Linked DNA regions of Alligator mississippiensis. Each later gene encodes a partner of the first gene's protein in a complex. Links are inferred from orthologs where the notes say so. Each region holds a gene or a part of one and is shown on either strand. Other genes may lie near its edges.

Region 1 (7,640 bases):
AGATGTAGCATGTCCCTCGCAGTCCCAGCACAGCTGCCAGCAGTGCATCTGAGTCTGCAGCACGGGAAGGTCCATGTGACATGAGAGCTTGGCCTGGGGAGAGCCCCATGGCCCTAGCCCCTGCACATTGCACCCATGGCCTAGCACCGCCCTGGGGCCTCCTGTATAACAACTGAGCTGGACCCCTTGGTGTTGTAAGGGTCCCTGGCACTGTATGAGCCCAGAGGTGCTTGGGGGGTGGCAGGGTGTGGGGGCAGGTGAGGCTACTCACTGGTCATGGGTCCCGGCCCAGTCTCCCTGCTGCACTGTCCCTGCTCCCACCTGTCCCTACAGCTACTGTGACTACTACCGGCCCCGCTTCTTCCTGCTGGAGAATGTGCGCAACTTTGTTTCCTTCAAGCGCTCCATGGTGCTCAAGCTCACGCTACGCTGCCTCGTGCGCATGGGCTACCAGTGCACCTTCGGCGTGCTGCAGGTAGGAGTCTGGGGCCTGAGCAGCACTGGCAGGGCTCCATGAGGCTGCCCTGGGTAGAGGCTCTGTCAGGTTCGAGGCCCTTCTGCTTGGGGCGTAGGCTTGGGTGGAGATGTCATGTGTCCACTCAGGCACCTGCTTCCCTAGGGGGTGAGTGGGTGTGATGTGTAGGGGTGGAAGAGCCCAATGCCCTGCTGGAGCTGGCTCTGGATGCCCCCTCCCCACAGGCCGGCCAGTATGGTGTGGCCCAGACGCGCCGGAGAGCCATTGTCTTGGCTGCGGCCCCCGGAGAGAAGCTGCCTATGTTCCCTGAGCCACTGCATGTGTTTGCGCCCCGTGCCTGCCAGCTCAGTGTTGTGGTGGATGACAAGAAGTTTGTGAGCAATATCACCAGGTGAATGTGGGTAGCCATGGGGGCGGGTGGAGTGGGATGGGGCCCATGGAACCAGTGCAGATGCTCCTGATTTCCCTGGATATCCAGGGAAGGGCATGGCAGGTCCATAGCATGGCACCTTCCCCAAGTCAGAGTTGTGGGGCTGAGGGCAGTTAGGCCATGACTGGTTGCCTGACTGGCCCCTCAACCCCTCCGCCACAGGACGTACTCTGGCCCCTTCCGCACCATCACGGTCCGGGACACCATGTCTGACCTGCCCGAGATCAGGAACGGGGCCTCAGCACTAGAGATCTCATACAATGGGGAGCCCCAGTCCTGGTTCCAGCGGCAGATCCGGGGCTCTCAATATCAGCCCATCCTCAGGGACCACATCTGCAAGGTGAGGACTTTTTGGGTAGCTGTGGTTGTGGGGCAGTGTCTGGGGGTCACTCAGACCAGAAGCCCTGTGTGGGATGGTGCTGGGCAGCTAGTGTCAGGCTGCAGGGAGGTAACGGGGCTCGAACTCGCTGCTGCAGGACATGAGTGCACTGGTAGCAGCTCGAATGAGGCACATCCCCCTGGCACCTGGCTCAGACTGGCGTGACCTGCCCAACATCGAGGTACGGCTGTCGGACGGCACCAGCACCCGCAAGCTGCGCTACACGCACCACGAGAGGAAGAATGGGCGCAGCAGCACCGGCGCACTGCGGGGTGTCTGCTCCTGTGCCGAAGGTACTGGGGGTGGGCAAAAAGCAGACGGGGCTCTGGCCCCATGCCCATCTTGGCTTAGGGGCAGGTGCAGGAGGCCTATCTTGGCTTAGAGGCTGCTTGGCAGGGACAAGGGCTACTCCCTGGTTTTCTGCAGGTGTCTGTGCCCTCTGCCTTAGGTAGCCCAACCCAAGTATGTGCTGCTTTTCCACCTCCCAGGGAAGCCTTGTGACTCTGCGGACCGGCAGTTCAACACGCTCATCCCTTGGTGTCTGCCCCACACGGGCAACAGGCACAATCACTGGGCCGGGCTGTATGGGCGCCTTGAGTGGGATGGCTTCTTCAGCACCACGGTCACCAACCCCGAACCCATGGGCAAGCAGGTGCGTATGGTGGTACCTGGGCAAGCAAGGGTGGGAGAGACGGATGTAGTCCCTGTGGGGCTGAGAATTGCCCTTCCATGGCCCATGAATGCAGCAGGAGGCCTCCAGGCCTTGGCCCTTGCCCTGGGGTGACCACAGGGCAATTTGCACAGGGGCAGGTGCTGCTGGGCAAGGTGCAGTACCTCTCCTCCACAGCCCTGGCTCCAGGGCTGCCTGCCTTGTGGCTGACCCCTGTCTCCCATCCCCCCACAGGGCCGTGTGCTACACCCTGAGCAGCACCGCGTGGTGAGCGTGCGGGAGTGTGCACGGTCCCAGGGCTTTCCTGACACCTACAGACTGTTCGGGAACATCCTTGACAAGCACAGACAGGTGGGTGCCTCAGATTCTCCCTCCCCACGGTGTTGTGCCCCTGCCCCCTGCAAAGGTTGTCAGGGACACAGTTGCCGAGTGGCTACTGACACTAGGACAGCTGAGCTGCTGCTGCAGCAGCCTCAGGCACCAGAACTGCAGGCAGGGCAGGGTGTGGGTGAGCTCACAGTCCCACATTCCTCTTTACAGGTTGGTAATGCAGTGCCTCCACCACTAGCCAAGGCCATCGGACTGGAGATCAAGATGTGCCGGTTGGCCAAGATGAAAGAGGAAGCCATGGGTACATGCAGCACTGGGTTGAGGGGGAACACCCCTGGGCTTGGGTGGGTGGCCCCCGGGCTTGGGTGGGTGGCCATAAAACTTTGCAGCTGCTGTCCATGTTCTCTGAGGGCAGGACTGTAGCTTCCAGGTCTGCCCACAAAATTACAGGTCCCTTAGAAGCCCCAGACCAGAGGAAAGACTTTTCAAACTCCAGGCTTGAGGGGTTAGGGGGGCTGGCTGGCACCAGAGCCAGTCCCTGGTGGTGGCCATGCCCAGGCCTCACCTGCTGCCTCACTGGCCTGACCTCTTTCCACAGAGAGCAGCAAAGTGGAGAAGATGGAAATTGCGGACTGACACTTGCCCTCCCATCTCCTTCTCCAGCTCCAGGACTCCCAAACATGCACTGATTTTTGTTTCGTTTTGTTCTGTTCCTTGTTTTGGTCCGACATGCTGAGTCTGTTGTTCAGCTGTACCCGTGAGCAGTGTTCGTCTCCCCGGCCAAGCTCAAGGGCTGTCTGTGACAGTTGCGTTCTCAACTAATCATCATTTTAGTGATCAGCTGTGCAGTGCCCCCCCCGCCCCGCCTCCTGTGCATTCTGGATTTAAAGGATGATGTTTTTATTATGCCTTGTATTGAAAATAATCGACCACTTTATACAAGTGGAAATTAATACTTTATGTAGTTTTTATATGTTGTAATATTTCTTCAAATAAATCTCTCCTATAAATTACATGCTGGGGAGAGCTCTCTTCTTCTCTCCCCCCCTGGTTTTTCTCAGCATCTCCCAGCCCTGTGGAGGAGGCTGGGGCCTGACTCCAAGTTGGGGGGCAATGCTGGCTCTAGGCTGTGCTGCTGAAGACAGCTTCTGGGCTACAACCTCCTTTCTGGCCATAGTGGGTGCCATGGAGCTGCTAGCAGAAGGGATGTTCCTCCAGCTCTTGCAGGGTGCAGGGCAAAACCACCCCCAAGTCTCTATAAGAACATAACTGCTGTTTACTGGGTCAGACCACAGGTCCATCTTACCCAGTATCCTGTCATACAGCAAGCAAAGGCTGGAAGGTGGGGGTGAGCAGGTCTGACCAGGGTCTTTTTCCACTGTTGCTTTCTTGTAGCCTCCAGCATTAAGGTCCAGGAAGGTCTGATTCAGAGGCTGTGCCAGTTGCTCTTGGGTTCAATAGCGATCAATGCCCCTTTCCTCCAAGGATATCGCCCCTTGTGAAGCTCAGCTAAACTGTCAGCTTCTGCTGCATGTGTTGGCAACAAGTCCCACCCTTTCATGACATGTTGGGTGGAAAAGTACTTGTTAGTTTTAAACTTGCAAGCGGCTCGTTTCGCATTGTGACCCCTTGTTTCTGTCTGCTGAAGATGATCCCAGTACACCCCCCCCCCCCCCCAAGTGAGCAGGCCTAGCCTCCTGAGTCTGCCCTCACAACGCAGTCCCTCCAGACCTCTCATGCTTACTGCCCTTCTATCTCGTATTTGAGGTGCTGGGACAAGAACTGAGTGCACAGTGAACTTACGCAGGGATCCGATGACACTTCCCGTTCTAGGCACGATGCCCTCTTTCAGAACCCCTTAAAAAATCCTCTGCAGGGGTCAGGACTTGCCTGCACCTCGGGGTGGTTCCAGCTGTTGCCCCGGGCCTGGCTCTAGCTCTGCCCTGGGCTGCAGTTGCCTCCTGAGGTTCCCAGTAGCCCCGGCTCCTGGTTTGTGCTGGCTGGGCCCTGAGCCTGCCCCCACCCCCCTTTAACCCTTTCGTGCCGTGGAAAATAACATTCACGTGGGCTGAAGCTGGGGCGGAACCTGGCCTGACCACGAGGCCTGCCAACGCGCGGGGGAGAGAACTACAGCTCCCAGTATGCAGCGTGGCCCGGGTGCGGTGCTCCAGTTCCCAGAATGCATTGCGACCCCGGGGTCGGATGCTAGTAAGCGTGAGATCCTTCAGGACTACACTTCCCAGAGCGCACTGCGAGAATCCGGCAGTTCCTGCAGGCCCCTCAGCTCCCAAGGCTGCCGCGGTGATTCCTCCCCTATCTCCTTCCGGCCTCTCTAGGAGCGTGGGCAGTGCTCGCTGGTGAGGCCCTTCTGCTTCCGGTTTGTGGCGCGAGGCGTTCGGCGGCGGCTATTGCTGCTGCTGCTGCACAGGGCGCGCGATGCCGACGGGAGACTACGAGTGAGACGGGCGGGGTGCGGGCTGGGCCCGGGGTCCGGGGTTGGGCCTGGGGCGGAAATGAGGGAGGGGCTGGGGGTTGAGGGAGATGTGGGGGGTGCGGTGGCCTAGTATGGGGTGGGAGCGGGGAGGCCGGAGGATCGTGTCCGCGCGGCTCTAACTCTCGCTCCCGCAGCTCGAAGCCTAGCTGGGCCGACCAAGTGGAGGAGGAGGGAGGCGACGACGGTGAGAGGCTGCACCCGGGCTGGACTCCCCTCCCTTTCCCCCCGCACATTCTCCTCCCCCCGGCGCGGACCCCCCCACGGGGCTGTGGGCCGACTCCACCTCCCCCTCCCCCAGCAGACACCTTCGGTCATTGGGATCCCCGGCTCCTTTGCATCTGGCCTCGCAGTCTCCTAGTGCTGGTCAGGTTCCAGCCTAGCCCAAGGGCCCGTGTGTTGCTCTAAGGCCCATCGAGGAAGCTGGGTGCCTGCCCCTGCCCTGGCTCATGGCCCGTCCCTGTGACAGGGCAAGAACCCTTGCCCCCACAACACACAGCCCCCACCCCAGGCCCCTTATCTGATCTGGTGGTGGTCCCACAGTACAGGTGACCTGCTGGGGGGTGATAATCCCCTCCCCTCAGACCCACTCTCTGCTTCCCTCCAACTTATTTCCTGGGCAGCCTGCATTTTTGTAGCTTGTTGAGACCTGGGGGGGTAGGGGGGGTAGATCCTGTTACTAGGGCACCCCAAGCCCCACAGAGCTAAGAGTTCCTGTTATTGCAGTGGCACCCTGTAGGATCTCCAGGGATGGGGCATGAGCACACCTGGCGCTGGGTAGCATTGTGGCACCCTGGCCCTAGCCCATAAGAGTTCCCTGTTCCTTCCCCCAATAAGTGACTGACTAGCAAGGTCTAGCCCTGCTCCTCTTCCCCAGACAAATGCATCACCAGCGAGCTGCTCAAGGACATCCCCCTCACTGCGGTGCTGGGTGGGGACCTGGGTGCCAGTGTTGCTGAGGCAGAGGCCAAGGCCGAGTCAGAGCTGCTGAAAGATGGTAAGAGCCAGGCTGGCTGAGGAGTGGGGATTGGGCACTGCCCCAGGGAGCCCCATGGATCCAGTCATCTCACTGCCTGCCCTGTCCCCTTAGGTCCTCTTCCATCCCCAAAGGAGCTAATCAATGGGAACATCAAAACTATCACTGAGTACCGTGAGGAGGAGGATGGGCGCAAGGTGAAGGTGAGTGCTGGAGGGGTTAGGCTGGGGCTGTCTTGGGGACTTTTTCCCTGGCTGGGGCAAGATTCCCCCAGCCTGAGCCATGAGGGGCATGTTAGAAAGTGTGTGATGGGTCGTGGCCCTTGTGTCCACTGCTCCTGTATCCTGCATGTGGGGGCAGTCATGCTGGTGGGGCACTCCCTGTGTCCTTGGGGTGAATGCTACCCCCCTCATTTCTCATATGGTGAGTGATGGGGTCTTTCTCCCTCAGATCATCCGTACCTTCCGTATTGAGACTAGGAAGGCTTCTAAGGCCGTGGCCCGCCGCAAGGTGAGTGGGCTCCTTGCTGGGGCAAGAGGGGTTAAAATGGAGGGGGTGGGCATTGGAGGGTTGGAATGAGACGGGACTGGGCCTTTCACATACCCAAGCTGCTTGTCCTGCCTTGCTCCCTTTTCCCTCCCACATCTGTCCATGTCCATTTCCTCCCTTTTTGGTGGCATCTCTGCCCCCACGCCCAGGGCTGCTTCTGGTTTGGGTTGAGCCTGTTACATTTAACAGATGCCACCAGGGGGCACTTCTGCCCAGTCTCCCAGTTAGCTGGGTGGGATGAGGTGGAAGGATTTCCCAGCTTGACACCTCCCCTGCCTGCCTCTCCCAGAACTGGAAGAAGTTTGGCAACTCAGAATTTGATGCGCCTGGCCCCAGCATCGCCACAACAACTGTGAGCGACGATGTCTTCATGACTTTCATCACTAGCAAGGAGGTGAGTAAGGGTTGGGGTGGGGTCCTAGGGCAGGGGGAGGGACCATGGGCATCCAGCTGCTCTGGTGGGGGCTTGGGAGCTCCCTGCAGAGGAGTAGTTCCAATGCTGATTCCCCCACGCCTGCTGCAGGACCTGAACTGCCAAGAGGAGGAAGACCCCATGAACAAGCTGAAGGGCCAGAAGATTGTATCATGCCGCATCTGCAAGGGCGACCATTGGACCACACGTTGCCCCTACAAAGACACACTGGGGCCTATGCAGAAGGAACTGGCTGAGCAGCTGGGGCTGTCCACTGGCGAGAAGGAGAAGCTGCCTGGAGGTTTGGGGGTGGGGGCAGTGGGGTTTAGGGGTTCGGGTCCCAGAGGCTCTGGGCTCTTCTAACTTTGCTTCCCTGCCCTTGTAGAGCCAGAGCCAGTGCAGGCAGCACAGAGCAAGACGGGGAAGTATGTCCCACCCAGCCTGAGGGATGGGGCCTGCCGCCGTGGGGAGTCCATGCAACCCAACCGCAGGGGTAAGTCCTGGTAATCAGACCTATGGGCCCCTCCTGGCCCTGACTCGGATGCCTGGGTCCTGCTTCCTGCCTCGGTTTGAGCTCCATCCTGGCAGTTCTTTGCCCAGCAGGGAAACTCTGTCCTGGGGGCTCATTCCCATCGCCTGGGCCTGGCCCTGACTCTCCTCTCTTTGCAGCTGATGACAATGCCACCATCCGTGTCACTAACCTGTCTGAAGACACACGCGAGACGGATCTGCAGGAGCTGTTCCGCCCTTTCGGCTCCATTTCCAGGATCTATCTGGCTAAGGACAAGGCCACTGGGCAGTCCAAGGTGCAGCAAGAGGCCCTCTGGGGTGGTAGGGAAGGGCTTGGCTCAGTTCAGCTCTAACCATGGGCTTTTCACCCAGGGCTTTGCCTTCATCAGCTTCCACCGGCGGGAGGATGCCGCCCGTG
Region 2 (6,840 bases), on another chromosome or scaffold:
GGCATATTTTCACACAGTGAGCACGTAGGATATTTCAACACTGACATACCTTGTAGTATTCTATCATGAATCTCTCTGGGTCATCTACATGCAGCTGTAGGAGTTTCTACTGGATGCAGCCCAGCCATTTCACTTTAAATCTTGAAATTAAAAATCATGTAATTCATAAGTTTATCAGAAGTGTTGAATAGTGAGTGCTGAATGTTTAGGAAAAAGGTTGCCTTCACCCTTCCTTTTTCAGGTTAGCTGATTTTCAACAATGATTGTTAGTGCCTCTCAATTTGATGCCTGGTTTGATGTCACATATGTTAAGCACAGTGACCTGGTATTTTCATGCTATGAATCCTGACATTTTAGTTGTTCATCAGGTATGCCTTTCTAATATTTTTTAGAGGGTGGAAACCACCCCTTTGCAACAGTTTATTGTCTTTTCTTTTCTTTTGTTGCCTGGTACCCATGCAGCTGCAGAAATTAACTGGAAGTAATAAGGATCTGCATTTTATAAGGCAATCATCTAGTTTCAGAATGGATAAACTATAAGGTCAAATGCCAAGTAATTTATCATAATGAAAAAAAATTCAGGAAGATAGATACTCCTCCAATACATAAAACATTTTTATTATAAACATAACTTCCTTCCTTTCTTCTTGCTTCAGTACCTCCCTTTCTAAACTCCATGTCTGCTTTTCATTATTGTTATATTAATGTTTGGGAAGCTATTTATTGTGATATCCGAGTCCCTTTATAATGGTTACATTAAGTCATTAATGGACCCAGTAGATCTACTGTGATCTCCTGCTGCCACAGTCTTTTAATTTAGTCAGCCAGATATGAACATTTGTAATTTAGAGACACTCCTTTACTTAGAAGACTACTGAAGTTGGACATTGGGAAATTGTCCCTTAGTTATGCTAGTTAGTGAGAGAGAGAGACAAAGGGTCTGTAGAGGTTGCTCATTGCTCCACAATTAAATGTTGTTGTTAGTTCTTTGAACCCAAAGATCACTACATATATTACATAATCTTTTAACTAGTTGGGATAGCTTTGGCATAACTCTTTATAAATGAGGTTCAGGCAGAAGCACTTTTCCAGAAAAAGCAAGCTCCACAGTTATAGGCCTAACAAAAAGAATGTTCTGACTTTTCAGCATCCAGGAGCATGGTATCTTTAGCGTACCGAGCTGCAATCAAGCATAAGTTACAGTCATTTGGAGATAGTGGGGTAGGCATAAAAGTGACCTAGATGTAGTCTAGGTAGGACTTTTTAAGAAGTAAATGGTACCCTGAATTTCAGAAGCAGAGTGTGAGTATGCTGTGCTTATGTTGTTTCACTGCAACCAGGAGGACAGTCTAGATTAGCTACCAAGTGGCTTTCACAGATTTTCCTCAATAGAGTCCAATGCAACAGGCCAGATAAATGGTCATAAGGATGTTGTGGATAATCAAGGAGGAATAATTATGTTACAGGCAGTACAGAAATTCCTTGATAAGCTGAAGGTGGAAAATATTGTTCTGATGGAGGATGTAACCTTCAAGGCTAGAAGCTGTAAGAAGTGCAATAGTAAGTTTCTCAAGTTGTTGCCCATTGTAGAAATGACTGGGCAGACACCACGAATTGATGGACTATTTATAGAAGTCAATAGATCCTCAAGGGTTTTTTTGTCAGTTGTATCTTTTATTGGATTGACTTCATGATTGGGAAAGACTTAGATAAGCTCTTGAATGTGAAACATTCTTTGAAAGTTTGTCTAAGTCTGTCCCAACCATGAAGCTAGTCCAATAAAAGATATCACCCACAAAAACCCTTGCTTCTTGCATAATTCATAATTCCTGGACCATCATGGCTACAATATCACTCCTATAAACCCCCAAAGCTCTTTGTCCCTACCAGTTAGAATTGCTTCTCATGTTAGTTTTGATAGACAAGGATTTTTCTGCGATGTCTTTTTTTGGACCAGCTTTTTTTGGACCAGCTGTATAGTTGGGAGAGCTGTTGGACAAACTTTTGGGCACTTCAGGTTAGTTTTAATGTGATTTTTATTCAGTTTCCAATTTCCACCAGGCGCTGGGCAGAACAGGCTATATAGTAGCATCTGGATCAGAACTGGAAGAGACGGCAAGCTTGGTGTTACCTATGTAGTGATATCACCACAGCTCATGTTGCCTCATAACAAGTAGGAATTAATAATGTAGGATGCCAAAGTCATAATCACAAAGGAATGAGTGAAACTTCTCTAAGGTATGTCTATCCTACTGGATCATGCAAGCATATTACAAAGTTGTTGAAAGTTGCTGGTAGCCGTGTTGCACTTCGCTGGGTCTGCTTACATTCCCTGGTTCACACCTTCTTGAAATCAATCTGAAATCTATATTATTCCCCATCACCCCATAGACTTGGAGGATTAGGGGTAGAATGATTTTAATTTCCCAGTGTCTCAATTTAGCAATGGGGGACAGCTCTCTGTCTGCTTCCCTTTGTATGTCATCAGCAAAGGACCCCTGGGCTCTGCTTCATCATTCTCTTACCCTCTTTCTGACTGGAGAGGCTGGGACTATAAAGAACTGGGTACACAAGAGCCATCAGCAGTGCCCAATAAGAAGTCCTATGGTTATATACATCTAAAAAGCTATGCTGCACATTTGAATGCTACCGACTAGCACCTTATCAATTAACTATTAATACCCGCACAGATATCTGGATAAATCCCTATTTCTAATGTATAAAAGGGAAAAATTACATTAAAATCTAAAAATCTGCTACAAAAATGAAACTTCATTCACATCACATGCACCGTAACAATGTATTTTTCCTGTCACTGGCACTGAAAGTCTCCTTGATGGAACCCATGATAGGCATGCTACCATGGGTCCCTCTGTAAGTCAACTCAAGATCACACAGGATGTCAGTGGCAAGACAGGGAATTGAACCAGTCTTGCAGGTTTCAGGCCAGGACCTTTACCAATTGGCCATCCTTCTTCCCTAACATGACATTTAAGGTTTTTTACATTACTTGGAGATGATGATACCTCTGTCAGGAAGTCAAGCATGATGGGAAAGGCTATGACAGCAGTTCAACTCAAGTACAGAAGGTTTACGAATGTCATTATTTATTTTGTAACTTGCTATAGCTTGGATATTATTTTTTGTTAGATGCTTAAAAGGGAACTCCATTCTCCCCACTCCCAGCCCCCTGGCAGCAAGATTGGCTGCGGGGAGACCACCCCTGGTCAGAGGGACTGGTTGCAGGTGGGGCACGTGCCCCCCTCCCCCCAAAGTGGCACCAGTCGCCCATGGTTGGCAACTCTCTTCTGGGAGCAAGGATGTTCCCGCCTAGCGTGGTCAGCTCTTAAATATGAAATGATCCTATTTGCTGAAAAACTATCGTAGGCTGAAAAAAATAGGCAAGCAAGTAGGCACGGAAGTCTTTTTTCACTTTATTTCGTTCACTACAAGTAGCCAGTGAGTGCGGGAGGCCTGGGTCAGCCAACTCGAAGCATTTCACGCGGGATGACCGTACAGATCCCGCCCGAGCCGCCGAGAAGAAGTGCCTGCCACCTCTCCCCCACCCCGCCACGTGCGCGTCCCACTCCAACCTTTGAGCAAAGCAGAGCAGAGGGAGGCTAAGGGCAGCACAAGCCACGCCCCTTTGCCCTCAGGCGCCCGCCTGCGCATGCTCGCCCCTGGCCCCGCCTCCTAGCTGGCGCCGGGCACCCGTGTACGCACGCGCGCCCCTGGCCCCGCCCCCTAGCTGGCGCCAGGCACCCGTGTGCGCACGCGCGCTCCTGGCCGCTTCCTGACGGCGCGTCTCTGCGTCACGCGCCGGCGCTTCCGCCCCTTTCCCCTCGCAAGATGGCGGAGTACGACTTGACCACCCGCATCGCGCACTTCTTGGACCGGCACCTGGTCTTCCCGCTGCTCGAGTTCCTGTCCGTGAAGGAGGTGAGATGGCGGCGCGGGAGCCCGGGGCCAGCCCGTCACCCCGCATACGCGGCGCGGCCCGCGGGGCAGCCGGGAAAGGCAGCGGAGGCCGCGGGGCCTCGTGGGTGTTGGGCCGGGGGGGGAGGGGTGATTCCCGCCCCTTCTTCCCCAGGCGCCTGCGGCCGTTTGCAGTAAACCCGGAGCGCGGCTGCCGCCCAACCCTGGGAAGGCCACGTCCTCCGCGGGCCCTGCCATTTGTTTCCAGCTGCTTGTGGGAGCCTGGCCCTGCTTCCCTTCCGCCGCGCGGCCCCCGGGGGGCCTGTCGCTCCTGGCAGGCTCTTCTACAGATGCGGTGATCCGGGATACAGACTTCTCCATCGCGGGAGTGTGGGGTGCATTAGACACACAGCCACTGCATGGCTGTAAGCCCGTGGCCCTCAGGCCACAGGTGCTGGGGCACACTAGGGTGCTGATGCCTCTTTTTGGGGGGGTTCCCTGAGGTGTGAGGTGATAAGCAGATGAATAAACCCAGGCTCAGGCTTGTCCTTGCCTGGATGATCCTCTTGCCAGGACCCTTGGCAAGGAAGTGATGGGGGTAATCGGTACCCTTGTTTTTGCAGTTGGGTGCCAGTCAGTTCACAAGTGTTATGTTGAGTTCAAAAAGCTTGAGAGCCGGTTGCTGTCAGTAAAGCTGCCGTACACCCGGTGACTGGGCAGTCAGCTCCGTTTAACTTCTTGTTGTGTTTAAATTGTCGATTTAAAGATTGCAAAGTTTACTGGTCTCCATACAACTTCCCTAGATGGTCTCATTGACTCGTCAGCTCTTTTGAGTGTATTATATTATTATATATTCTTATTGGGCAGGTCTTAACCTACTCGTGCTAGTCCTTGAATGGTGGTTTCTTTACTTTTATGGAAGTCCCCATCTTCTGAATGACTATAGCCAAAAATGCCTTTACTTCCAAATTAAAATTAGTTCACTATTTTCCTTGTTGGACTCCTCAAAATGTTCAGTGTTTTGGCCTGTTGGTACTTACCGAGGGCAAATTATCAGACCAGATATAATTTTAAAGGCTATCTAGCCCAATATTCTTTGTTAAACAGACTTGTCATCATTTAACTGTACTGAGTACTGCATATAACATTACATCTTCAACAAAGAAGGTAATAATGAGCCAAATTATACACTCCTACTAGCGGTAAAGTAGTTGAGGGCTGTTTTGGGAAGTGCAGGGTAATGCACCTGGGGATAAATAACCTCAACTATACGTACACAATACTGGTTTCTGTACTAGTTGTTGTGAGTCGGAAAGGAGACTCTGGAGTCCTTGTAGATGGTTCTTCAAAAATGCTAGCTTAGTGTGTAGCAGCAACAAAAAACCCAATAAAAGGTTGGACATTATTAAGGAAGGTATTAAAAAAAAAAATGGAGAACACATTCATCACAGCACACTATTCATACAAATCCATAGTGCACCCAGTTTTTGAATACTATACAGTTTTGGTCTTTGTATCTCAAAAAGGATGTAGTAGAATTAGCAAAGGTACAAAGAAGATCAACCAAAATGATCAGAGGTATGCAGCAGTTGCTTTACCAGGAGAGATTAAGAAGGCTAGGACTCTTCAGTTTGGTGAGGAGAGGGTATGATAGAGGTTAATAAAATCATGAAAGGGCCGGATCAAGTTAACAGGGAACTATTGTTCACCAAGTCCCAGAATACTACAACTAGGGGGCACCCACTGAAACTAGTAGAAGACAGATTTAAAATTACCAAGAGAAAGTATTTACACAACAAGTAGTTAACTTGCTGAAATTCATTGCTACAGGTGTTAGAGATGGATGGCATGATAAGAGAAGTGAGGGGGGATTTGATAGCAGCCTTTAACTGCCTGAAGGGAGGTTTAAAAGAGGATGAAGCTAGGCTATTCTCAGTGGTGACATGTGACAGAACAAGGAGCAATGGTCTCAAGTCACAGCAAGGGAGGTTTAGGCTGGATATTAAGAAAAACTTTCTCACAAGGAGGGTGGTGAATCACTGGAACAGGTTCCCTAGAGAGGTGGTGGAGTCTCCATCCTTGAAGAATTTAAAGACTGGGCTTGATGAAGCCCTGGCTGGAATAATCTAGTTGGGGGTGGTCCTGCTTTGAGCAGGGGGTTGGACTAGATGACCTCCTGAGGTCCCTTCCAACCCTAATTTTCCATGATTCTATGAAATGCATGGATGATAGATCTAGTAACAGCTTTGAGCAGAAGAATTGGAGGTGTTTCCTTTGGCATCTCTAAACCAATAATGGTGTGTCAGGGAATGTAATAGATAGAGAACAAATTATTGTACATCTGACCAATTCAATGTTCTTCCTCTAGCTTCCACTTTTGTCACTGTTGGAGACAGGCCTTTTTGTTATGCCCAGAGGAATGTTGACCTAGGCCCACCAAGGGAACTATAAGCCTCCCTTAATCAGGGAACAGTTGATTACTTGGGACAACTAAAGAAAATACAGGGACATCAGTGTGGGTCAGGTTTATGAGTAATCCACTGGGGGACACCAAGTAAGCATGCTGGCCAGCACCTACTGACCCTCAAGTCCAGGGAGCCAGCGGACTCTACCCAGTGAAACTGCCTGGAGACATGGATGGTAAGGGATAAGAAGACAATCCCAAAGTCACTTGGGTTCCCCCCAGCCAGAGACTTCTTCCTGATCTGTTACATGGCTAGCTTAGCTAGAGCCAGGAGCAGGTTGATCAGGAGGCCCTGGGACTTGGTGGGGCCATTGATGGGAAGTGCATAAAAGAAAAGTTTAGAGGTGCACTGATACTTTGGTCCCATATTGGATTGGCACTGGCCGTCGGCTTTTTTTGGCTGATGTGGTCAATAATTCCACCAATAAATGCCTCGTGCACGTGCAGCCGCAGTGCAGCAT
Region 3 (7,544 bases), on another chromosome or scaffold:
ACTGCCCAATCTGGGGACAGGTTCAAGTACCATGTCTGAAACTAAGTGCCTTGACTATAAGGGTTTTGGAACATGAACAATAAGTCAGGTCCTTGTTCTTTGAACACAAACACTTGTCTCCCTTCTCTCTAAAATGTTTGATTTGAGGGAGGAGGTGGAAATGTTGGGCCTACAGTTATAAGCTTCAGTAGTCAAGGAATTGGTCTGTCTGAACTGGGATTTTTATTTTATTTTTACTGTAAATAATAGTTCTAAGTCTTCTTTACTGAAATGTCTGCCAGGAAATGTTCTCCATATTATAGATCCTGTGTTTAAAATGATTTTGTGGCTCTTTTGTGCTCAGGCCTGGTTAATTTCTACCGCTGCATTTGACTGTTGTTAGATGAGCATTATAACAAATCTAGTCCCAGAAGGCTCATTCTTCTTGTTCTTAAAAAGCGTCAACCTAAATCAAGGAAACCTCTTTATATAAAAATAAATAGCTAGTTTATTAACCCCAGAGTCACCCAAGCAATATATTTCCTTTCCTGATAACACATAAAGGCAGAAAAGCTTTTCCTAGTCTGATGTATCCACTCCTTGGGCTGGAATGGATTGTATTCAGTCCTTAATGCAACTAGTCACAACTAGGAGTTTTGGACACCTGAGGAAGGCGGGACTGAGTGTCTGATGATAAGCACCTTTAGGAAGAGAACTGAAATTATGATGGCTGTAAGAACTGTTGTACTTGAGGTATGTCCACTTTGTTACTGTGTTGTGATCTGACACAAGCCCCTGAGGTAGAATGCCACTGAGAAAATAGCCCGTTACTGCCTTTATGCAACACTGTCTCATGGAGAACAGTTCCACTTGGATGCTGCTGGTACTATTTTCTGAGCTGATGGAGAAAGTCACTCAATATAATGTGATTCATTATCCTTTCACACTATGCTCCCATCAGAGGCCCCCCAACCATCCCTGCAGCTCAGAAATCAGTCAGGGTTCTAATGAAACAGAGGATATTTTTAACAGATAGTCTCACTTCTGACAAGCTCAGGGGACTTAGCAATCGACATTGTGTTGAACGCTGAACAAGACCATCTCACAACCGTTCCTGTCCAAGAGAGCTTCCAGTGCGAGGGAGATGCAAAGAGATGTTCTGAGACAACCCAGGAGGAGTTAAAGCAGGAACCACTGAGTTTATTTCAGTCTTGATGACCCCAAAAATACTCTAAGGTTGCAATTTAACTGAGGGGGAGGCGCGCAGGGCTGAGCTGCAGCTACCTCTGCTAAGTGAACCGGATGGAACATTTTCTCTGTTCCTAAGTCAGTGAGTCATCTAATTAAGAGTTAAAATATTTTGATTTTTTTTTTTTTTAATAAAAACACACTATCTTGTAAGGAGACAACTTGTTAACAGTGAAACCCAGGTGTTGACTCTACACAATAACCTCTTTGTGATTGCCACCCACTTTGCCTGGGTTTTGAAATGCCAGTGCCTCAATTAGTGCAACAGAGTAAATGCAGATTATTTCACAAGCTTCCCACAATGCCAGAGTTCTAGACACCAGGATGGAGGGCTGAAGAAAAGCAAGACACGGCTGTTTACAGAGGTCTCAAAAGCCAAGTATTCTAGGCTTGGTGTCACGGAACAATGAAGACAAAGAGAATCCAGCTAGAAAAGCTCACTTCTCAACAGTCAGCCTCCAAAAGGGCCCAAACCTGGACTGTGCCGCTCAGTGCTGGTTCAGGGAGGGTAGGGTACCAGTTCCCAAATACAAGCATCATCTTCTGCATGTTCTTTTCTTCTCTCTCTCTCTCTCAATATCTCACTGCTTCTCATTCACAGAACCAGCTATACAGAGGGTGACCCCTAAGACAGTGAGCAGCATTCCTACCATGGCCCCTAGGGAAAAGACATGCAAAAGAAAAATTAACTCCTTTGAACTCAGAAAGCTTGGGGACGTTGACTGGGGTGTGCCAATACTCCTGTTGGGACCAAAGCTGGAGGCTCCTGGCCTAAAGGGTCTTGCCTTTCTGCTCAGGGTCAGACCAGTCACCAAATTGGGGTCAGAAAGGAATTTTTCCCCATGGCCAGATAGGTGCAGACTGGGGCAGGGGGTGCATGGGTGATCATGCCTCAGGCAGGGGTTTGACTAGATGAGCCCTGGAGGTCCTTTCCAGCCCTACTTTTCTATGATTTTATGATAAACTTCAGGACAAGTCCATCAGGTCATGTCCTCAGAGTCCGAGATGTTCTGGAGATCACAGTGTAAAATCTGGATGGGATCAGACTAAACTAATACCAGATAGGACTTCAGCATTGTTGAAAGCAGATTCTAAGAGAGGCTCCCTCCACTGCTGTGCAGGCATTTTGTCTGTGAGCTGCCTTGCCAGAACTGTGCTATGGAGAGCAAATATGCTGTGGTGAACTGCATCATACTTCTTAGGACAGACAAGAACCCTTTTTCCCAGTCAGGGAGACTGCATTACTGCTGTGCTAGCAACAGCTCTGTTTAAATACAAATGCAGCTGTTGGCATGGGCTTATTGGTAGCTATTAGCAATTTCCAAGCAGTAGCTAATATTCCCAAGCTTGTAGTGTCTTTATGAAGGGAACTGGTCTGCACTGATGTTGCTCTATGGACTCAGATGGGAATAAAGACTCTTCATTGGTGTTTTAGGTGTGCAGGAAACATCCCTTTCTTGTACCAGAGCAATTGTTAGTTCTGTTATACATCCCTTATATCTTATCCCATGAAAGCCCAAACCCGAGGTACTAGGAGCCCTCAACTCCCTGTGACTTGAACTTGGCAGGACAGGACTCCTTCAGTGAAACTCACCTTCCCTCCCCACAATGTGAAGAGTCCAGTTCATCGTAAAGGATGATCATGTTTGCAACTGAGTAGCTTCCTCCCCTGAGAGACCCCCAGAACCATGTTATCTACTGTGGGGTAACACACTACTTCTTAGTGTAGCGATAGCAAGTGACCCATAGCAGAGTTGTCCTGCTTCTGGTTTCAAGTCTCAGTCTGACAACAGTTGCCGAAAATAGCACGGAGCGGTGCTATGCTATCCATGATAGACTAGGATTAGCCAAATCATTGCCCCACAGCTAAGGGAGGGGAGCTCACTAAATCCATCCCCAACCCAGCACACGGTGAATTATTTAACTACCCCTAATGTCCGCTCCTTGGATTATGATTTACCTAGAAGACTGTGCTGAACCAAGCCACTACAAAGATTCAGGGCATGGAGTCAAATGTGTGCAGAGTGCATCTATAAAAGGACTGAGGCGTGACTTACTTTTACCACCGATGTCTTCCCCAAGGACCTTTCCGGTTATTAGGGTGACGATCAGAGCCAGAGAGTTACAGAGAGGAACTGCCAGCGAGAGGTCTGAAATGGAACGGGTAATATTAACGCATTGACCTGGAGCGTAGTAATTACTGGTGTATGTGCCAGGTAAGTCTTTAACAAGGGCGTACACACAGCTTAAACACTAACAATGCTGTAAAACTCACGCTCAGCATTATAACGGACATCCCTGCTGCTGTTGCAATACGCCCAGCCGACCTCTCTCGCCTGGAGCGCCAGCCTGTGCTTTTTGCAAACTCTCTTCCCATCGTCTCAACCCTCCCGCCGCCCTGGAAAGGGGAGAGCAACCACTGACCTGCCGATGCCAATGTGACGTAGTAGAGTACAGATCCACACTGGTTAAATGCAAGTGGCACCATATACTGCAAGGAGAGCACAACGTGTCAAGTCACTACAGAAGAAATGAGGGTAAACACAGGACGGGATCATGTAAGGACGGGCGCCGGGGATCCACGAAAGGGGCGAGAGCCAGTTTGATCTGAAAGGGAGCAGCAGGTCCAGCGTTTCGGTCGCAGGGCCGTGCCGCTGAATCCCTGTCAATGCGATACGTTCCCCTCTGTTTTCCTAGTCAGTAATGGGGGCTCGCGATCGTTTCTGAGGAGAGGGGGGAGTTCACGAAGAGCTGCCACGCGCTGGGAAGTCCTCGGAGGAAACGCAGCGCCCCGCGCGAGCTAAACGAGATGTCACAAAAAATCAAACGGGCGACGCGGCCAGGAAAACGCGCGGTAAAACCTCAGCGCAGGTCGCAGCCATTCAACGCGCGGCCGGGGCCAGCGCCAGCGCCCTACCTTGTAGTTGAGGAGCAGGAATCTCATTTCTGCGAGCAGCTGCAGCAGCCGGGTCTCCCGCTTCACCTTCTCCAGCCCCTCCGTGCCCGTCCTCAGGAAGGGGTTGGTCCCTCCCCACAGAACAGCCACGAGGACGAGCACGGGCACGTCCCCTGCAACGTGACCAGCGACCGCGGCGGGTCAGGGGGGATCCGTGCCCCGCCATACGGATGCCCCCCCTCCAGTGCTTTATTACTGCCCCTCGGCCCCCGCCGCGGAGGGGCAGGTCGGTCACGTCCTCAACGTCGGGCTCTAAGGTGCCCCCGCCCCCCACGCGCCCGGGGTCGTATGTGCCCGAGGGGACCGGAAGCGGGAAGCTTACCCAGCGGGGCCATGGCAACGCCGCCTCTACTTCCGGCCTCCGAGCGCTCTGACCCGGAAGCGGTTGCCGCTCTTCCTCTTCCGCCCTGCGCGCTGGTGTGGGAGCGCCGCCGCCATGGTGGGTGCGCGCGGGGTGTCGGTGTCGGTGTCGGTGTGGGGGAGGGGAGGCGGGCGGGGCTCGGGGCTGACCCGCGCTGTCCCCGCAGAAGCCGATCCTGCTGCAGGGCCACGAGCGCTCCATCACGCAGCTCAAGTACAACCGCGAGGGAGACCTGCTCTTCACCGTCGCCAAGGACCCCGTGAGTGTGTCCGCCCCTCCCCTCCCCCGCCCAAAACGCCGCTCTGCCCAGCCCGGGGCGCTTCATCCCCGCCCGGGACACGTGTATGGTTTCCACCCAACACCAGGCCCCCTCCCTGCCTGCTTCACAGTCGTTGTAACCCGGCATCTCGCGTCTACAGTCCCCGTTCCTCGGTTCCTCCCAGCTGCGATAACCCGCCTCTCGCATTCGTGCGTGCTGCGGCGCGAGCCTCGAGATCCTCCATGCAGTTTCGCATGTGACGCTAAGCGGGGTTCGCGTACCCGGCAACGTCAGGTAAAGCGGACGCTCGGTTTGCTTCTGTCGTTCCTCCAGATTGTCAACGTTTGGTACTCGGTCAACGGAGAGAGGCTCGGCACTTACAACGGTCACACGGGAGCCGTCTGGTGTGTGGATGCGGACTGTATCCTTTGGTTCCCACGGCCTGTCTGGCGTCTTCAGGTTCTTCTCCAGTGCCGTCGTTGGGGTCGGGGGGGGCTACGGTACAAGTGATCCTTGTCCAACCTGGTATCAGACTCTTTCCTTTACTCTCTGCTGGATTTTTCCCCCCTTCCTTTGAAACGGGAAATGGTCTGTGCGCCGTTGTGCCCCAGCCACACTTACCCTTCACCGCTGCAGGATGATACAACGTACTCAGGCTGCTGGTGAAGCTGGGGTTCCTGGAAGATCGTTGCAAAGCGATCTTCTCTTGCCGCTGCAGACGGTAGTTAATAAATGCAAAGCAAAAGCTTGTCTGAATATGAGAGGAGCCTGGTTCTCGTGGCACAAATATCTGGCCGCAGCGTCGTGGAATGAAAGTTACTTAACACGCATGTGTCGCATTCCTGATGCGTGCACTGAAACTCTTACAGTGCTGTGTGCGTGTGTCTGTGTCCTACTCTAATATGTGAATGTTGGCTCCTTTGAGGGGTGGGGAGTAAGGCTTTGTTGACGTTCCTTAACTAATGGTTCAGGGGACACGAGGCATGTGCTTACAGGCTCTGCAGACAACTCCTGCCGGCTCTGGGACTGTGAAACAGGTAAGACAAGCTGTTGGGGAGAGGATCTTTCAAGCCTTTCATCAGAGCACAGCTGAGTCCGTGAGCTGGGGAGCAGCAGGGTAATGTGTTGGCTTCTCACTTCAGCAAAGGCACGTTTCAGTTTGCCTGAGGCCGCTCACGGAAGGGTGTGCTCGTGTTCTGATTCCTGCCCACTAAGAAGTATTTTTGCCCTCTTCACTTTCCACACTGATCTGATTTGATGTCTTCAGCCTGGAATTGGTGCTGAGGTGATGCTTGTGTTGGGGGAACTTGCACTTTATCTCTGACCAGAAGGGTCGGTCCTTGCTTTGTGAGTGTGTAATTCATCCAGCAGCTTAAAAGAAATTCTTTCTTGTGTGCATTTCATGAATGATATTGCAGTAGCTGAAATGGTGTCATCCTTTTTGAGTAAAAGCATTTGGGCGGAGGCCCACAGAGCATGCTTCTCTGACCTGTAGTGAAGCATTAAGGTGCTTGTTTACCAACTTGGGAGACTGCTGCGAGACCCTCTTCAGAGCCCAAAACATCACTTGCTGTGCTAGCTCACTAATCAGTGGGGACTTGAGCAGTGAGAATAGACTGGAACTTGCATTAAACGACTTACAGGTAGTTAAAGCTGCTGACTGCACCCTGTTCTAGTTTCCTGTCTTTGCTTGGTGAATGGTGAAATTAATGGTGTGAAACTCACAATGTGGTGGTCTGGAGCTGTCCACTGAGACTTTGCCCTGTGTCTAGGAAAACAGCTTGCCCTAGTGAAGACCAGCTCCGCTGTGAGAACCTGCGGGTTTGATTTTGGAGGAAACATCATCATGTTCTCCACGGACAAGCAGATGGGATATCAGTGCTTTGTGAGCTTCTTTGACCTGCGGGACTCCAGCCAGATTGGTATGGAGCCTGGGCAGATGCCTTTGTGGGGGTGGGGAGGCTCTGATGGCACCTTCTGTCAGCAGTTCAGTTGGCAGCGTTGTGCCTGAGCCACTCCTTCCTTCCCCAGAGAACGATGAGCCTTACATGAAAATCCCATGCAGCGAGTCGAAAATCACCAGTGCTGTGTGGGGCCCTCTGGGGGAATTCATCATTGCAGGGCACGAGAATGGAGAGTTGAACCAGTTTAGTGCCAAGGTGAGTGTGATGCAGAGCAGGACTGTCTGAGGGCAGGGAAGAGGGCCATATGGTGGGCATCCCACGGCATATGAGCTGGACTTTTGTGAGCCGTGGTGCAGGTGTGGGCAAGGGGCACTGGAGTATGATGGCTGGGGAAAGTATGTGCACCTGGGGTGCTCTGGTGCTGGTGGAGGGTGATCATTAATTTTGCTGTGTCTGGTCCCAGTCAGGGGAGCAGCTCACAAATGTCAAAGAGCACACCAAGCAGATCAACGACATCCAGACCTCACGGGACATGACCATGTTTATCACTGCCTCCAAGGACAACACAGCCAAGGTGAGACCTCTCTTGGCCCACCCAGTGGCTCTAGGACGCTGAGGGAAATGGCCATCTCGACTTCTTTTTCCCTTCCACTGTTTGAGGCTTCTCTCTAGAAACTTGTGGGTAACCATGGACCCAAGCTTCTTTTACACCAAAGCAAATGTCTGCTTAGTGGGAACAGCCCTGTAAGGAGAGGGCTGCCTGGGCTAGATGGACAGGCAGAGGCAATCATGCAGTGGTTTCAGAGCTGAGGTGGAGAGGGGCACTGTGTGCTGCTC
Region 4 (7,239 bases), on another chromosome or scaffold:
ATGTGGGGTTTAAAGGCTTGGAGAACTTTTTTGTTACCTATTAGGCCTATTGAGCTGTGGTGTAATTCAACTGACAGCAGCCAAGTAGTGCAACTAGAAGCTCTGCTACAGTCAGGGAATGTTTGTGTTTGAGGCCCTCACCTCTCCTTCTGCTTGGCACTTTTAGGCAGCGTCTGCATGTTGAATTGAAGCATATTCCGACGGTCCTTGTCTCTCCGAAGGTTCCTCTGAGAATATTGAGGAGGAAAAAGACATTCAAGTTATAAATGCAATCTTTACAGCAACTCCATTCCTCTTCCAAAAGGGTCCAGTGAACAGGCACCGTTACCTGTGCAAACCGCATACGATTCCTTTGGTATGGTGTTTTCTGTGTCCGCGCAGTGTCCACCAGCTGGAAGCTCGTCTCATCTTCCTCATGGAAATATGCATACTGGCTTCCCCCACCAAACTGTGATGAATACTTATCTAGGGAGAAAAAAACGTGATGCAAGATCAGCTTTTGTCTGTCTGCAAAGTATTCTTCTGGGAAAGTCAGAGCTTCTATCCCCCTGCCAAATGCTTGTCCCAATTTGAGACCTGACCTGGAACTTTTCATTTAGAGAAGCACACCCTCCTGACTTCTCTGAAAAATGCCATACTGAGGGAGCTATGAACATTTGCTCTGAGATCAAGACACTTCTCGCACTAGGGGACAGATGCAGAATACAGGTTTCCTATATACCACTGGAACAAGTAATGATGGTGGCAACAGGGATGACAGTGGGGAAGTGTGGGGGGGGGGGAGAGGAGGAACCTCCCCAAAAAACCCACCATATATGAAGTATCTCAGAGAGGAACAGCTACCGAACTCAGAACTTACTTGTGTATCGCTTGTCCTGATACGTCGCTCCTGTCCAGTCTGCAACCTAATCAAAAAGAAAAACAGAAACAAGAGTAGTGATGGTATCAACCACACCTCCCACACACAGGACACTAGGGTCTCTTAATATAGGTGCCACTCAGTGAGAACACGCAGAACTAGAACTTCATGCTCAGAGCCTGCTGCACATTCACCTCAACTATCAGTTCCTTCAAACTCCCTGTGCTGCCTGCAAATACTGTCAAGAGTTCACAGATGTCCTAGCAGGAGCGCTGCAAAGTTGGTACACTTACAACAGTGGGTAAGGAGTGTGTAGAGCTGCATGAGGAGAAGCTTTATATGGAAAAGTGCACGGCCCAGACAAGGGTTAGAATGGCAGCAGGAAAGAACTGCCTTAACTGACCGCTTCAGTGACTCAATCTGACAATAAGCTGCGGTACCTTTCCCAGACGATCTCCTTTGCTGAAGGGCTGATACGGCATGTCTCGGAACTGTTCAGGCACAGCACATGGACCCCAACCTGAGGGGTTGTCCTGGATCACGGGTGTCACAAATTTGGCCATCTTCTAAAATCCTTGGGAAAAAAAAAAGTGGAACGAACAGTCAAGTGTCAGGAGTATTTTAGTTTTACAAGACTGAAAATGAGGCTGCTGGGAAACTTCAACTGATAAGGCATTTATACCATACTTTTTTGCATTGTGAAGCACGAGAGACCCAGTATGTCAGAGTAAGACTATTTCTGCTCCACACGAGCTGACATGCACAGTGCTGCATCGCGTGTGGTTGTATAAGTGGCAGTGCATGCAGAGAAAGTGGCAGTGGTGCGCTTTTGAACTAGAACACTTTTGATGTGCTTTAGTTCAAAGGTGCACCACCACCATTTTCTCAGCACTGATGCACATTTCGCCATTTATACAAATGCACGCACTGCAGTACCAGTGTGTGCAAGCATGTGTACAAATGCCCATAATGACTAGGTCAGCAGTTCTGAACTGGGGGTACATATACCACCAGAGATTACGTGAAGCCTCATCAGGGGGTACATGAGATATATTGCATACACTGTGTAACATAGGGCGAAAAATTAATTTCCCACTGAAAGGGGGTACATGAAGTCTCACTCTGAGACCACAGGGTATGTCAAATGAAAAAGGTTCAGAACCGCTGGACTAGGTGATGACACCATACCACTCAAAAAAGCAAGTAGTGGACGCCAAAAGTCAGGGTGGCAAACCTATGGCCTGTGGGTCTTAGACTGGCCCTTCATGCTGCATGTGGAGCTGGTCTGGTGTGCACACTGCACCCAGTACTGTGGATGATCATGGCATGGGGTGATCAGTCTGGGCCGCAAGCTGCACATTATGCCTGTGCTCAAGGCTGTCTGGTGGGGCACTGCATGCAGCAGGCACCCGCCAGGCCACCCTGTGTGTCAGTTCCAGTGTGCGCCGCCAGCCTGGCTGGCCTTGGAGCGAACACACAAGGCTGGTCTGGTGGAGCACCACATATAGGGCACACCCTACCAGGCCCTGCTTGCACTGGTCACTGCCCCACAGTGGGCACTGAGAGCACTCTGCACATGATGCCCGACCCAGCCCACAGACCCTCCCTGGGCACACTCCAACATCCCATCATTTTTCTTTTAACAAGCCCAACCTCGCAGAGGCAGCTGGCCAGGATTAGCCTCGCTGCACACTATGGGTTGCTCAGGATGGTCTCTGGCTCCTTGACAACACCACCAGCCGGGGACTGACAGGCCCCACACGAGCCTCCTGGCCTGCTTTGGCCCGCGCCCGGGAAAGCTGCAGCGACAGCCCCAGGCGACGGTCAGGTATGGGCAGCCCTTCCTGCGGCCGAGGGACACCCACCGGAGCCTCCCGGGACTTTTTCTGCCCCATGTCCCCCGGCTCCCGCGGGCCAGGCCGGGCAGCGCGCGGGGAGGAGGGGGCCTGCACCGCAGCCTGGGGCCAGGCGAGAGGGCCGCGGATGCGGGGCCCCCGGGGCGGGCCCGTCCCGGCCGCAGCCCCCGCGCGACTCCGCTCACCTGCGCGGCGCGCGCCAGCCCGGATGGAAGCGGATGCGGACGCGGCGGACCCGGGCCCTGGCTGCTACCAGGAAGAGAACCCGCGTGCAGCCCCGCCCCGCGTCGCGCCCCTGGTACGTCATCGCTCTACGCCGGCCGCCCGGCTGTTGCAAAAGGTATGGGATGCCGCAAAGCACGTCCGGAAGTGTCGCAAGCGGCATCGCCTGCGCATTCGAGCCGGAAACTACTGGGGGCGGGGTAGGAACAGGTTCGTCATCCACCTTCCCACAAGGCTTTGCTTCCCCCCCCACTCCTCGGTTATCACAGAATGTGCTGTAGTGTTGCCAACGCTCATGATTTTTAGTGTTATTCTAAAAGTCGATCCTTTGGGAATTTGAAAATCTTAGCTCTTTCATGTATACGTATATAGCGCTAAAATATGATATATAATAATATATATTATATTTATATATATGTATGAATGAGAATGATAAAATTGATATAGTTTCATAGGTAGAGTCAGAAGGGACCTGAAGAGATCATCTAGTCCGACCCCCTGACATGGCAGGGAAGAGCACTGGGGTCAAACGACCCCAGCCAGATGTTCATCCAGCCTCCTCTTAAAGACCCCCAGGGTAGGAGCCAGCACCACTTCTCTTGGAAGTTGGTTCCAGGTCCTAGCTGCCCTGACAGTGAAATAACGCCTTCTAATGTCTAGCCTGAAACTACCCTCCCCTAGCTTGTGTCGGTTGTTTCTTGCAACTCCCAGGAGTGCTGGGGGGAACAAGGACTCCCCCAATGCCTGCTGGTCCCCCTCGACTAGTTTGTAGACTGCTGCTAGATCCCCCCTCAGCCTTCTCTTGTGGAGGCTGAACAGGTTCAGGTCCCGTAGCCTCTCCTCGTAGGGCCTGTCCTGCTGCCCCCTGGTCACGCGGGTGGCCCTCCTCTGGACCCTCTACATGTTGTCCACATCCCTCCTGAAGTGCGGCGCCCAGAACTGGATGCAGTACTCCAACTGCGGCCTGACCAGTGTCGCATAGAGAGGGAGGATCACCTCCTTGGCCCTGCTTGAGATGCATCTGTGGATGCACAACAAGGTATGGTTGGCCTTCCTGACTGCGTCCCCCCACGTTCATTGTGGCATCAATGATGACTCCAAGATCCTTCTCTGTCTCAACACTGGCAAGAAGGGAGTTCCCCAGCCTCTAGGTGTGCCACTGGTTCTTCCTCCCCAGGTGTATTACCCTGCACTTGTCAGAGTTGAACCCCATCCTGTTCTCAACAGCCCACCCCTGGAACCTGTCTAGATCTGCTTGCAGCCTGTTCCTTCCTACTAGCGTACCCACTTCACCCCACATGTTAGTGTCATCTGCAAACTTGAACAGGGTGCTTTCTACCCCCTCGCCCAAGTCACTGATGAAGATGTTGAATAGTGCGGGCCCGAGGACCAAGCCCTGGGGAACCCCACTGCCCACATCCCTCCAGGTCGAATAAGACCCGTCCACCACCACTCTCTGGGTGCAGCCCTCCAGCCAGTTAATGACCCATCTGACCATGTAGGCATCAACACCACTGTCTCCTAGTTTCTCACTGAGAATGGGGTGAGAGACTGTGTTGAAGGCCTTCCTGAAGTCCAGAAAGACTATATCCACTGTGACACCTGCATCCAAGGACTTGGTGACCTGGTCATAGAAGGCCACCAGGTTGGTTTGACAAGACCTGCCCCTAATGAACCCATGCTGGTTGCCCCTGAGTATAACTTCCCCTGCTGGCCCTTCTTGGACATGTGCCAGGATAATTCATTTGAAAAGCTTCCCCAGGACCGAGGTAAGACTCATGGGCCTATAGTTTCCTGGGTCCTCCTTCCTCCCTTTTTTGAAGATGGGTACCACATTGGCCCTTTTCCAGTCCTCTGGCACATCGCCCGAGCGCCATGAGTACTCGTAGAGCTGTGCCAGAGGTCCCGCAATGACCCCTACTAGTTCCTTCAGCACTCTGGGGTGGAGATCATCAGGACCTGCAGATTTAAATACATCTAGTCCCTCCAGAAGTTCCCTGACAAGGTCCTCATTAACCCTAGGCCTAGGTGTGCCACCCACAGGGCCCTTGGGGGGGGCCAGTGGGGGAGATATCTGGGTCCCTTCTCAGAAATACAGAGGCAAAGAGATTGTTGAATATGTCAGCTTTACCGTCAGGTGAGATGACCAGATTTCCTAGCGTGTCCTGCAGAGGCCCCACATTGCTTGGCACCTTCTTTTGCCCCCCTATGTATTTGAAAAAGGACTTTCATAGATTCATAGATGTTAGGGTCAGAAGGGACCTCAATAGATCATCGAGTCCGACCCCCTACATAGGCAGGAAAGAGTGCTGGGTCTAGATGATCCCAGCTAGATGCATATCCAACCTCCTCTTGAAGACCCCCAGGGTAGGGGAGAGCACCACCTCCCTTGGGAGCCCGTTCCAGACCTTGGCCACTCTAACTGTGAAGAAGTTCTTCCTAATGCCTAGTCTAAATCTGCTCTCTGCTAGCTTGTGGCCATTATTTCTTGTAACCCCTGGGGGCGCCTTGGTGAATAAAACCTCACCAATTCCCTTCTGTGCCCCCGTGATGAACTTGTTGTCCTTCATCTGGGTTGCTAGTACCAGCTCCATTTCCGTCTTGGCCTTCCTGACCGCCCCCCCTACATTCCTGAGCTACTGAGGTATAGCCCTCTCTTGTGATGGCCCCTCCCTTCCAACGGGTGTACGGCTCCTTTTTTGTTCGGAGATGTTCCCGGATGCTTTTGGTGAGCCATGGGGACCTTTGTGCCCTCTTGTCCCCTTTGATTCATGTAGGGATTACTTCCCTTTGAGCTTGAGAAAGAGATATAAGTAAAAGAAGGAGCTAAGGTTGTCAAATTCCCAAAGTGTCGGCTTTAAGAACAACGCCAACAATCATGAGAGTTGGCAACACTGGCGCTGGGTGGTGCCCTGCATGGCTTAGCTCTGATGGCATCCCACAATGCCTCGTGGCTCCTCCAGCATCCCACAATGCACCATGGGCTGAGTGAGCTAAGCACCCCAGGGGTGCTGCAGGCAAGGCTGCGCTGGGGGCTTTCAGTTCCCCCTAGGCGCAGGCCCTCCTCCCCCTGCCTGCAGCCCTCTGGACTGGTGGTGCCTGGATTACCTGTGCCAGCAGGCGATGGGGTTGCGTGGAAAAGTCCATCTCACTGTCCTAGCACAATAAAGGCACCAGCCAGCCCTCCTTTACCTCTAGCGTCTTTCCCAGATGCCCCACAGCCGCTGCCTGACTCCAACAGTGATTGTCCTGTAGGTGCTGCTGCAGCACCTTGGGGTGCCAAGAAATCCTTTCAGGGGTGCTGTAGGATGCCGTGCACCCCTGGTACCATTAGGCATCTCAGGTTGACCCAAAGGTTTCCCACAGGAATGCTGAGGGTTAGAAATGTTTGGGCCTGTTGCAGTCTCCCTCAGTTTTTTGCAACATGATTGCTCTTCTACTTTACTGTAGTAAAAAATTGAGTGAAAACCAAGTTGGCATTTTCCACGGGGTGCCTCCAGTCTAAAAAAAATGAGTTCTACTGCCCCGACACAGAAGCCCATTGCTTGATGCAAGTCCGTAACTCTTTTTATGCTGTTTTGTCATGCTGTTCTCGTATCCTCGGTCAGACCAACAGCCTTTCCTGAGATCCTCCTTTCTCTCCTCCACATTCCCTGCTTAAAGACAAATAGATAAGGATGAGAGGGACCCTGGCTTTTTGTAATGTTCTGGTCATCAACGTGCCATTGTTTATGGTCTCTTGAGAGATTCGACACAGTACCTGGTCACTTAATTTGTTCCATCCGAGTTTACCAAGACTGCTTATTTTTTTCTTGATAGCATTCAGGCAACAATGCTGAGAGATGTGAATGTATTGCAACTACATGTGGGAATGTTATTTTCTGTTGAATTTGCCAACGAATGAACATGAGAACTACCATTTACAGGAAACCCTTGCTATTTGTGGGTTCAAATATTCGTGAATGCCGAACCCGCATCTTAAATACACTTAAAGGAGCTCCTCGGGAGCTCCACACTTGCTGCCACCATCAGTGCAGCCATGCCCCCCACCAGCCGCGTGGGTACTGTGTTCATTAACATAGATGTTCAAGAACATATCCCCCACAAATGGCAAGGGTCTCCTGTATTGAGTCAGATCATAGGTCCATCTTGCCTAGTATCCTGTGTCCCACCATCGCAGAAAGTGGATGCTTGAAAGGGAGAGTGTACGGGGTATGACCTCAGTTTATCCCCTGTTCCTCTCCTACTTGCAGCCTCCAGCATTTATAAAGTCCAGGAAGTTCTGATTCAGAGGGTGTACCC

The links.
Region 2: EIF3G (region 1) and EIF3E share a complex: the UniProt entries of both Homo sapiens proteins name them as parts of the eukaryotic translation initiation factor 3 (eIF-3) complex. The link is inferred for Alligator mississippiensis from reciprocal best matches to the Homo sapiens genes EIF3G and EIF3E.
Region 3: EIF3G (region 1) and EIF3I share a complex: the UniProt entries of both Homo sapiens proteins name them as parts of the eukaryotic translation initiation factor 3 (eIF-3) complex. The link is inferred for Alligator mississippiensis from reciprocal best matches to the Homo sapiens genes EIF3G and EIF3I.
Region 4: EIF3G (region 1) and EIF3D share a complex: the UniProt entries of both Homo sapiens proteins name them as parts of the eukaryotic translation initiation factor 3 (eIF-3) complex. The link is inferred for Alligator mississippiensis from reciprocal best matches to the Homo sapiens genes EIF3G and EIF3D.

What each region holds. Positions count from the first base shown.
Region 1 is NC_081831.1:22,141,899-22,149,538, reverse strand, and holds the start of EIF3G (eukaryotic translation initiation factor 3 subunit G), read left to right. Parts: upstream 1-4,627; 5' UTR 4,628-4,720; coding exon 4,721-4,740; intron 4,741-4,912; coding exon 4,913-4,962; intron 4,963-5,652; coding exon 5,653-5,772; intron 5,773-5,865; coding exon 5,866-5,954; intron 5,955-6,201; coding exon 6,202-6,261; intron 6,262-6,589; coding exon 6,590-6,694; intron 6,695-6,823; coding exon 6,824-7,013; intron 7,014-7,097; coding exon 7,098-7,205; intron 7,206-7,381; coding exon 7,382-7,518; intron 7,519-7,594; coding exon 7,595-7,640. Other genes in the region: DNMT1 (DNA (cytosine-5)-methyltransferase 1), read left to right, coding at 334-475, 700-866, 1,068-1,245, 1,382-1,577, 1,773-1,936, 2,189-2,305, 2,883-3,020. UniProt on the Homo sapiens protein: RNA-binding component of the eukaryotic translation initiation factor 3 (eIF-3) complex, which is required for several steps in the initiation of protein synthesis.
Region 2 is NC_081826.1:32,216,033-32,222,872, forward strand, and holds the start of EIF3E (eukaryotic translation initiation factor 3 subunit E), read left to right. Parts: upstream 1-3,822; 5' UTR 3,823-3,849; coding exon 3,850-3,939; intron 3,940-6,840. UniProt on the Homo sapiens protein: Component of the eukaryotic translation initiation factor 3 (eIF-3) complex, which is required for several steps in the initiation of protein synthesis.
Region 3 is NC_081829.1:5,592,286-5,599,829, forward strand, and holds the start of EIF3I (eukaryotic translation initiation factor 3 subunit I), read left to right. Parts: upstream 1-4,540; 5' UTR 4,541-4,619; coding exon 4,620-4,622; intron 4,623-4,710; coding exon 4,711-4,803; intron 4,804-5,136; coding exon 5,137-5,224; intron 5,225-5,774; coding exon 5,775-5,840; intron 5,841-6,575; coding exon 6,576-6,725; intron 6,726-6,834; coding exon 6,835-6,962; intron 6,963-7,170; coding exon 7,171-7,281; intron 7,282-7,544. Other genes in the region: TMEM234 (transmembrane protein 234), read right to left, coding at 1,809-1,885, 3,285-3,377, 3,652-3,718, 4,145-4,296, 4,506-4,518. UniProt on the Homo sapiens protein: Component of the eukaryotic translation initiation factor 3 (eIF-3) complex, which is required for several steps in the initiation of protein synthesis.
Region 4 is NC_081827.1:100,926,525-100,933,763, reverse strand, and holds the start of EIF3D (eukaryotic translation initiation factor 3 subunit D), read right to left. Parts: upstream 3,009-7,239; 5' UTR 2,901-3,008; intron 1,434-2,900; 5' UTR 1,423-1,433; coding exon 1,300-1,422; intron 906-1,299; coding exon 860-905; intron 466-859; coding exon 329-465; intron 228-328; coding exon 142-227; intron 1-141. UniProt on the Homo sapiens protein: mRNA cap-binding component of the eukaryotic translation initiation factor 3 (eIF-3) complex, a complex required for several steps in the initiation of protein synthesis of a specialized repertoire of mRNAs.